Drosophila melanogaster: one gene and its partner. Changing the gene in region 2 together with the main gene of any one other region gives a genetic interaction. Each region holds a gene or a part of one and is shown on either strand. Other genes may lie near its edges.

The links. Genes that interact genetically often act in the same process or in processes that back each other up.
Region 1: of spin (region 2) and bchs, changing one enhances a phenotype caused by changing the other (phenotypic enhancement), as found in Drosophila melanogaster (one study listed by BioGRID).

Annotation. Positions count from the first base shown.
Region 1 is NT_033779.5:5,905,575-5,910,226, reverse strand, and holds the start of bchs (blue cheese), read right to left. Parts: upstream 3,059-4,652; 5' UTR 2,940-3,058; intron 1,915-2,939; 5' UTR 1,883-1,914; coding exon 1,592-1,882; intron 1,538-1,591; coding exon 1,292-1,537; exon of another isoform or gene 1,180-1,291; coding exon of another isoform or gene 1-1,179. Other genes in the region: CG14000 (uncharacterized protein), read left to right, coding at 1-1,179.
Region 2 is NT_033778.4:16,123,121-16,128,036, reverse strand, and holds the start of spin (spinster), read right to left. Parts: upstream 3,057-4,916; 5' UTR 2,661-3,056; coding exon 2,255-2,660; intron 1-2,254. Other genes in the region: CG30095 (uncharacterized protein), read right to left, coding at 3,460-3,722, 3,785-3,952, 4,340-4,553. UniProt on the Drosophila melanogaster protein: Probable sphingolipid transporter that plays a central role in endosomes and/or lysosomes storage. Involved in TGF-beta-mediated synaptic growth regulation both pre- and postsynaptically via its function in endosomal storage regulation.

The DNA.
Region 1 (4,652 bases), on a different chromosome or scaffold from region 2:
TTTTTTAAACTCATCGAGGTGTTGCTGGGCAGTGTTTGTATGTTTTTCCACATACGCGGCTCATCCTACTGGCCAGAGCGTACTCCTCATGTGATCCTATATTGTGCCACATTTTCGTCCTTTACGGCGCTCGCCGCTCTAGGCGCGTTCCGACTGCTATTGGCTAGGAGTACGGTGCTCTCCTCCCAGCTCCTGCTCACACTGAGTGCCGTGCTGTCGCACTATTTCTGCGGCGTGCTGATAATGCGCACCGCCATGCTGGACCCTCACCTGGCCTTCATCAATTCTACCATCGAGTATCTGGAACATCCGCACTTTGCGCACTGCAAGCAGCAGAGCATCGCTGCGCTGGTTACTGGCACCATGTACCTGATGCACATGTTCCACGTGTTCGACCTGCTGATGCGCATGGAACCCGGCGACTGGAAACGTCAGGCGACTGGCCGTAAGTACTTTGAGGGAACAGAGTCTGGTTCAACCGGGCTATTTGTGCTTTCCAAGCCAGTGGACGACTTTCTATGCAAATGCTGCAGGTGCTACTATAAGTTGGCCAATTCTCAGATCCTGTACTTCCGGCCGAACGCGGAGGTGGAGCAGCCGCACTTTATAGTCCGCATGTGGCAGTTCATTGGGGATGCGCGTAAAAAGTTCTTTTCGCTGCATCAGATCGAGAGTGACGAGAGTTTTCTATCAACGCCAACAATAACCACCAGTGAATCGGATATCACACCGGTGGACACGGAGTACAGTGTGTACATGGAAGAGCAGGCCAATAAGATGCGCAGGTCTGCTTCAGCCTGGCGCGGCTCCAGCGATTCCTCGAGCTTGTGGGCCAAAATCGAGGACAGGAGCACTGTTAGCCTTGTTTCAACTCGGTCAAGTGAGAACAGCGAGGCCACAATGAAACCCATTCAAATGGATCGGAAGCTAGCCCGGCGATCTTCCATGTGGGCGGACACTGAGAAAAGGGAGAAATCGGAGATTTTGCTGGTAGAACAGGGCTCTAGCTATTCTCGGCTCAGAACTTTAAGCAATGCTGAATTGGTCCATAAGCCAAGCGATGCGGGAGAAAAGGAACAACAAGTTCCAGATGCAGCCAACCCAAATATTACAAATGAAGAAGCTACGAACTCACACATCGAATTCTCTTTGAAGCCTGGAACTGAGAAAACTTCGTGAATTTGATGACGACTTTCCCTAACGAAAATTGTAGCTATTGAAATTTTTTGTTTTGATTACGTCGATGTATTTTTACCATAAGATACTATAGCAGTTTATAAATGAAACATACCTGTATGAGAGATACGTCTCCATTGGCCAACAAATTGAGGGTAGCCAAAAGCATCCATCCGCTGCTGGTTTCCTCGGTGGTTTCCACCTCGAGAAACTTGACTATGGCAATGGATGCCGCCTCTGTGCTCTGGTTGGAGGCGCGCTTGCGGATTTCGCTGACCATGAGACGGGACACTTGCTGGCAGAAGGCGACCACGTCCCAGAACTTTTCGCTCATGTCGTTTGACGGACAGCTGCTGAAGACCTGTAAGAATGGGGAGTTAGTGGCCTATTCCTCCATACCGACTGATTCACTCACTTTGCAGAAGAGGGGCAGCATCTCGTAGAGCTTGTCATCGCGCTCCTGTTCGCTCAGCGGCTCCCGCGGATGAGTGTATTCGTTGAATAGCTTCTTTAGCGTGGTGAGGCTCACTTGGACGCGGGCGTCCATCAGCGCCTCCTCCGCATTCCGTCCATTTGCAGCGGTCGGTGCACCAGCATCCGTTCTGCTGCTCCCTGGTGAACTGTTGTTCGCCGTCGAGGTTCCGCTACTGCTGCCGCTGACGCTGCCTGCGCTGGCCGCTCCGCGCAGCTTACGCATTACATTCATCTTTGTGTTTGTTGATTTGCGGTAAGATTAATCTAAAAGAGAGAAAATTAAGTTGACTTAATACAAAATATAAGACTAATCTAATGGCTGTACTATGAGGAATGTCATTGATTTTTTTGCAAGGGGGTGGCACTTTCTACATGTGTTTTAATAATGGTGATTCACTTGTTTACAATGTTATGCCGTTTAAAAAGATTATATATTATTCGATAAAGGTGTAAAAAGATATTTCATAGTATTTTGAAACTTTTTACTGCTGTAGTTTAATGAACTTTCCCACTTTCATGCAGGTTTCAGTTCAAAACGTGTCGCTTCGCATTTAAACATATGTTTCCATAGAACCTGTGCTTATTGTAGATATTGTATCTTTTGAACATTGGAGGTGAGATATTTTGGCGATTTATTTGCACAGCACTGACACTTTCAATTGAGTGGCTTCCAAATCACAACCGCGCACAGTGCAGTTGGCGTTATGGCTTGTTTTCGCAGCTATTCTATTTCTGCTGCCGCCGCCTTAATTAGCGGCCGCTGGAGGTGAATCACACGAAAAGTGCGATCATTGTATTCGGTGCGAGTATTAACTTTTCGCGAGTGAATGAACGTTGCCTCTGTCGCCGACTCGATTCGATTCGTACGCCTACATAGCGAGCAAGCGATTAACCGATAGTGGTTATTATTCCATATATTCGGGAAATATTTACATTTTGTGCGAGACAGCTGTTCTTGGTTTACTTATTGCGCACTTGTTTGTTTACTCCAACTCCCTTTGAAACTACCGACTATCTGACCTCTCTTTTCTGCCAACGCATTTGGTTCAGCTAACGGCCGCTCTGTTGTTGCTTTTTCGTAGTCCGCTTAGCGCTCTCTTTCGTGTCGCACTTTGTTTTGCTCCAGTCAATCGCGCCTCACGACAATTTTATTGATTTTTCTTCCTCTCTCGCGTACTCTCACTCGGCCTCTCTGCCCGCCACCCACCCTTGAACAAACCAGCAGATAGGTCGAATTTGAAAATTTTCACATGCACTTTTCCGGCTTATTTCGTGCAGCCGTCACTTACTTTTGCTATCCGTCGCTAGCATTGTGTTTCCCGTGTGAGTTTTCACTATTTTGGGCCCTAAATGCACTCGTTTTACATCTTGTTTCACGTATGAAAATATGAACCAAATTTTCTCCAGCTTTTCGTCTGTACTCTCTTTTCGTTATTCTGTCGAGTGTTGCGTAGCGCTGCCAGTGGTATCAGCTGTTCACATTTTCCACCACCGCAGCCAGTGCTCATTAAGACCAAACGCCAGTGCTGCATTTTGAATTATGATCGGCGGTCTAGCTTTGGCATTTCAAATTCAACTGTACTGATAAGCAAATAAACAAGACCGATTTGTATTAATCTACTTCATTTTATTATTTTTATTTAATACAAAATCTTTTGTATGTCGCCAACGATGTGCTTATCTTCAGATTGTATATATTAGATCGCTTACTAAACTAATGGCAACAGTTTAATAGAACTAAACTGATTTATCTCATAAACTTAGCATCTAAATTGATACTTAATTAGCACTTACTTAATGTTCATGTGTGCTCATAATTAAGTTCATTATTGTTAATAATATTATATGAGTGCTTTCGCATCTCGGCTAACAATTGGTATTCTTAGGCCATTGGCCATTAATTTCCAAATTTCTCTCTCGCCCAATATTCGCATGAGTGTGAGATTCTTTATTGATTCTGGCTAGGGGTTATTAATATTTGTGTTTGTACTTACAGTTGTTATAATTGTCAGCATCAACAGATAGCTGTCGGATATGACAACAAATTTATTTGCATATTGATTGAACGAACACCCGATGGCGAACTTCATGCGTTGATAATGATGCTATTTGCTGACTCATTTGTGGCAGAGAATGCTGTAAGTTTATTGGGATTGATTGATTGGTAAGGCCATTAAATGCCACGCACGTCCTTCTGATCTAATTTCCCTGTACCCGAAACCAATTCGCTGTGTCTCCCCATTTTAATGCGGATAAAATTTCGTTTTTGAATCAATTAGGGGTGCAAAAGAATAAAGGCGTGTCGTGCTAAATATTTAGTTAGTAGTTATCCCCATGACCAACTGCCTCGCTCCCCAAAAATAGTTTACCTTTGGGCGTTGGCCCCGCCACGCCCACTGACCCCTTGCGTGACTGCCCGTATCCACCCGCTCCCACAGTCCTCTTCAGTTTTCCAGCTAGCCAGCCAGCCACATAAGCTAAGCTCGGAGTTCCCTAATGCTTGTTTATGTGGGAAAGCGTTTGGGATTGGCACTTCTCCAGGTATTATATCTTCCCACCCAGACAGGTACTTTGCGCACTTTCCCGCCCGACAAACCCCCCACCGCGATTTGTGGGGCAGGGTTGTGGGGAAAGTCCTTTGTCTGCGGCAATATTCTAATGGATTTTTCCGTTTCAGTTATAAATAGAGGCCCCCTACAACTGACAAAAACGGGAACAATATCTCAGGTGCCAAGAAGGGGTAGACCAGTAAAATGATATTCGGTAGATTGATAGCGCACTAAAAAAAAAAACTCGTGAAGTTGGCGCGAACATTCTATTTACATACAAACTCTTATGAGTAAAGTGACATCAGCCTATTTCATCCGCTTAATCTTCCTTTAAAGGTGAAGTGCAATACCCAGCAAAATTTTAAGTGGATTTTTAAGTGAATTTTCCGAGGACCGCATATGCTGCTCGAGGCGTTTCCGGAAAATTTAAAAGTGTAACCCCAAAAATCATTT
Region 2 (4,916 bases):
TATCTCAGCCCACATATCTGTTGACCAAAATAAATGCCAGTTCTTTTTGCGATGATCAAAGTTCGCTGTCGGTGCAGAAATTGAATTTACTGTCAACAACAGAATAGCCCCGCCCCCCCCTTCCCATCCACCCTCACACAGATCACGATCATGAATGAAGAGGGGGGCTTCCCAGTGTTTTTTTTTTTTTTTTGACCGAACGAGGTGGTTACAAAACATCACACCACTACCGTCAGTCGGTCGGTTTTAGCTTAAAAAACCAGGCGAATTTCAGCAAAGTCGGAGGTCGAAGCCAAAGGCCGAGACGCACTTAAAATTATAATTAAATGCATTCCATTAGGTTGGGCAGACATCAGCTGATACACACGTCTATGTGCGCCAAATAAATATATGCATATGTATGCATGTATTTTTGCTTGTTATATACAACCACACGGAAACGTTGCAAATGCCGAAATTCACATTAAATACAAAAGGGCCAAGCAATCAGAGCAGTCAGTTAGCAGAAGCTAAACAAATAATCGCTTGGTAATCTAATCACTGCAAAAAAGTGACCCAAAACACCACGTGCACTGCAGCTGGTGATCCAATGCAATTGATTATGCAGCGCGTCTGGTTTCAGCCACTTCTTGATAAGGCCCAAAAAAGTGGGGGGGGGGTTGATAATGATAACAATGCCACTGGCAGAAATGGCAAAACAAAAACCTTGTGCGACCGACCATTGTTTATATGAGTTTTCTATTTCGCCTTGCGCTCGCAGAATTCTCAAAATAAACAATCAATTAGGCGCCCATGGAAATAATGAAAATTTCCGAGTGGCGAGTAGCGATGTGTGTTTATATTAAATATAATATGTAAACAGCGATTTTGTTTGGCTCGGTATGTAAGTGCTATCGCCCCTTTTCGGTGAGTAATTCCACTTCCTGTTCTGTTGCAAAAAGTCGTATGATGTTTTTTTAGTCACTCGATCCGGTGGCTTTACACGAATCAAAAGCTTATGATTTGCAACCGAAAAAAAAGGGTTGTAAGATCGATTTCCAATTGCCGCTGCGGCAATCAACTGATAACTAATAGCCAGTGATTTATAATTGCAAATTAATTGCAACTACACATACAGTAAAAGACGTTATCACATGGCCTTGAGTGGAAAAGTTCTGCTGACTCAGGAAGAACTGGCTGTTCAGGTTCACGAAGAAAATGCGAAACTATAGCTATAATATACACATATTTAGAAATGCATATTAAACGGTCGTCTGAGGCGGACTTGTACGTATAATAATCAGTCACAACTTGTTTCGCCATGTAACCTGAAACAAGTTTCCAATCGATTTGCACCGCGTTTTGTGTAACTAAGATGTCGCCAGTCGAAGTGCAAGTGCAATCGGTAGTAGTCTCATTTTCCAGACACAAGTAAACAGTGAAAAGAACTTCGGCACTCAACAAGTGTCCAATGAAATGCCGCCCGCATGAATTAAGATCAATTTCCTTCGCTAATGTTCTTAATAATAATAAACTCAACAATTATGTGGGCAGTGTGTCTGTATTTATCGACTGAAACATGAGATTACCCTGTAATTGTCACGCGGGCGGGGGACTTTCTGATCGCCGATCGCAACTACCATTACCCGCCGTGCTAAGCAGGTCAGGTGCCGCCACCGCCGTGCTCACTCACTCCATTTTATCGCACCTGAGTGCTAGAAATAATATACATATGTTTAGGTTTAGGCGAAATGGGTCTTGATTGATTGCCCACCCAGTGGAAATGTCCCGAGTTTCGGTGCAAAGCGAATCGAATGATAAAATGCTCTGTATGAATATTTTTGGATCGCGTGATTCACTTGTAAGTAGATTAGTCACTAATCAAATTCTCTCGCTCGCAATCTTTATGGTACATTTTGTAAACAATGGGAACGCGACGACTCGCATTGTCGACGATGAGGTATAAATTTCAACTGATTAGGTCACAAGTATTGTTGATTAGCGGCTGCTAATTAATAACATTATGATTTTGTCAGCAGATTTTGTGCAATTTAAATGTTTTTATTATTCTTTTGCCTGATATATAAATGAATACATACTATAAGTGCTTTGGGCTGCCCAATCTTTTGGTCACACAAAAGTTGTGATTTTTACAGCGGTCTATAGCAATCTTCTTCAATAGTGTCAACAAATTTTCCTATCTACTGCGGCAACAAGCCCCCCAAAAAACGTATGGAATCCCATAGGACACCCAAAGAGGTATCACCGGACTCACCTGCGATCGTAAAGCGATCCATGTAGTTGATGAGGTTGACGAAGCATAGCACGGTAACGGTGAACCACTGCGATCTGCCCACGCTGGAGAGACGCGATGGCACGACGGCGGATGGTGGTATGCCCGGGATGTGGTGGTGCTCGCCCAGTGGGTGGTGGTGATGGTGGTGGGGACGCAGTCGGTGCCGCTCCTCCTCCATGCTGTCCGTATCCGAGGGCATCAATTGCTGTGACGAGTAGGTCGTAGGCAGTCCGAGCGGCGATAGATTGGCCACATCCTCACGACTCCCGCCCTCCTCAGAGGAGCTGCTCCCACTGCTACCGCTGCTCTGGATCATCGCCGGATTGTCCATGGCGGCCGCCGTTGGGAGCGGTTGGTAGGATTGCTTCTGGTGTTTCAGCGACATTCACCCGATCACTCGATCCTCTCTTCTCTTCTCGCGCTCTCGCTGTCCTCTTTCGGTTGGAAATTCGCAGCAGGCGGACAACGCGGCAAAAAGTTATTTGCACACGCTCTTTGCTCACGCACACAGAGAAACGGGAACTCGCGATGAAAGCGGTTCAAAAGCGAATGCAAAAGAATTTGCTCTTGGGCTGTTGGCACACCACCGCGCTTCTCTTTTATAACACTTTTGCCAATTTGTATGGCTAATTCGACTGTGTACTGAGACACTTCCTCTAATCGCGGTTGTTCTTTAAATGCAGCCAATGCATTTGCAGTGCTTCTCGCTGTTTTTCTTTCTTGTTTCTTCCGCGACGCGAACACTGTTGCCTTTCCAACTGGAGTAAGTGCAATAAGTGTGACCGTCCGGCGACCGCGAATATATACCAGAATCCAATTGGCGATGACAATTTCGATAGTACTATCGATAAACTAAGACCAGCTGCATATCTATCGACTAATATCGGTATAGCTATGCCTATCGATAAAAAACATTTAAAGCAATTTTTAATAAATATTTTTACATTTAATACAAAAACATGAACAAGAATCTATATTAACAAGCTAAGTTGCGCTCTGTTAATTAAAGAATTTTTATTTTGCCATAATATTCTGAGCATTACAGATAGTGTACCACTTATCTCTAGAAAACTGTTGACAACCGAATTTGAATTCAAATTTAAGCGATGATTTTTTGGTTATGATTGTGATGATTAAAATCTAAGTGCGTTACGAAGGTATATGCGAATGAAAAAGAACGATTTCTATTCAATATCCATATCATCTACGCGCCCGCGAACGCGATTCTTGCGCTTGTGTTTTTTAGTGGGCGGTGGCAGGAAACTCTCAAGAAACTCAATGGTATTCAAAATCGTTTCCGAACTGACGTTTCCAATGTAGTTCTTGTCGAAGTAGACGACCGGTACAGGTGGCTCCGTTGAGAGCAACAATTTGTCACAATTACAACGCTGTCCCTGAATTTTTGCATCGAGCGTTTCCACTTCAACATCTGTGTTATTTGATTTGTCTGGAAAGAGGTGCCTAAATAGGTCAATCTATGTCTGAACTCCATAAAGAGTTGCCACCCACCGAATAAGGGACGAAAGCACTCCTTCACCTGAATCCACTTGGTGCAAAACTGTTTGATGAAACTGTCGTTCTGATTGAAGAAACTGCGAGCTGCATTGTCAACCCGGTATTTCATGAATCCAGGCACATATGGCCATTTGCCCTTCGCGGCATAAAAGCATATGATGTCTGAAATGTAAAAATTTAAGCGATTTGTAATTCTGCTAGCCTTAATAAAAGTATTCATATGCTTGAGGAGATAAAAATTTAAATATTTTAGTTGCTAAAGAAGTTTATTCATTGTTTCCTTGCGACATATGATAAATTGTGAAAAAGTATAGCATACTTTTAGGCTTAGCCGTATTCGTCTCTTAAAATGATTTCAATGCGTTGTGGATGTCTTTTAAACTGAAAAGAACTATTGTAAATTGGGAAGATATCACACAGAAACCTATGTTCTAATCCTTGTTCAAAATACAGAGATCTTGATCTAGAACATTCTAGTTAAATGTGGAAAAACTATGGCCCATTCTTGTATATAACACTTTCGATTGCGAAATAGATTGCTTAACTTACAGGGCACATGGAAGAGATGAAGAAAAGTGCGCTGATGCTCCAGACTGGAGATGAGATGAATACCGCTGGACCGCCGATTGGCCAGGGCCTTTCTTCCGGCAAAGGGAATCTCATCCACGCGGACACTCTTCAGATATGCCTCGCCCATGGTGAATAGAAATATGGCTAAAAATAGGGGCAGAATATGCAGAGCGATTTTCCGACGCAGCTCCATTGTCGAACTTTCCACTAGCCAGCAATAAATGTGACTGACGAATGTCCTGCAGGAATTGTCAGACACCTGAATGATTTCACTGCGCTCTCTATTGATTTTAATTGTGCTCGAGGTTGACATAAATCCAGGCAATAGGGATACATTGCATGTGCTAACCCAATTTGCCAGCCACAAAAAGTTCATTGCACTCAAAGTTACATTTGTGGAATATACATGACAACAAACATCATACATACAACAAAAATTAAGTCACAGGAAATGCAGTATGCAAATCATGAGTCATTAGCTAATATTTATATTACTCAATATAGACGAGATAATAATCAGCAGTCACCTGTCAGAACAATTCACTCCGATCTATGA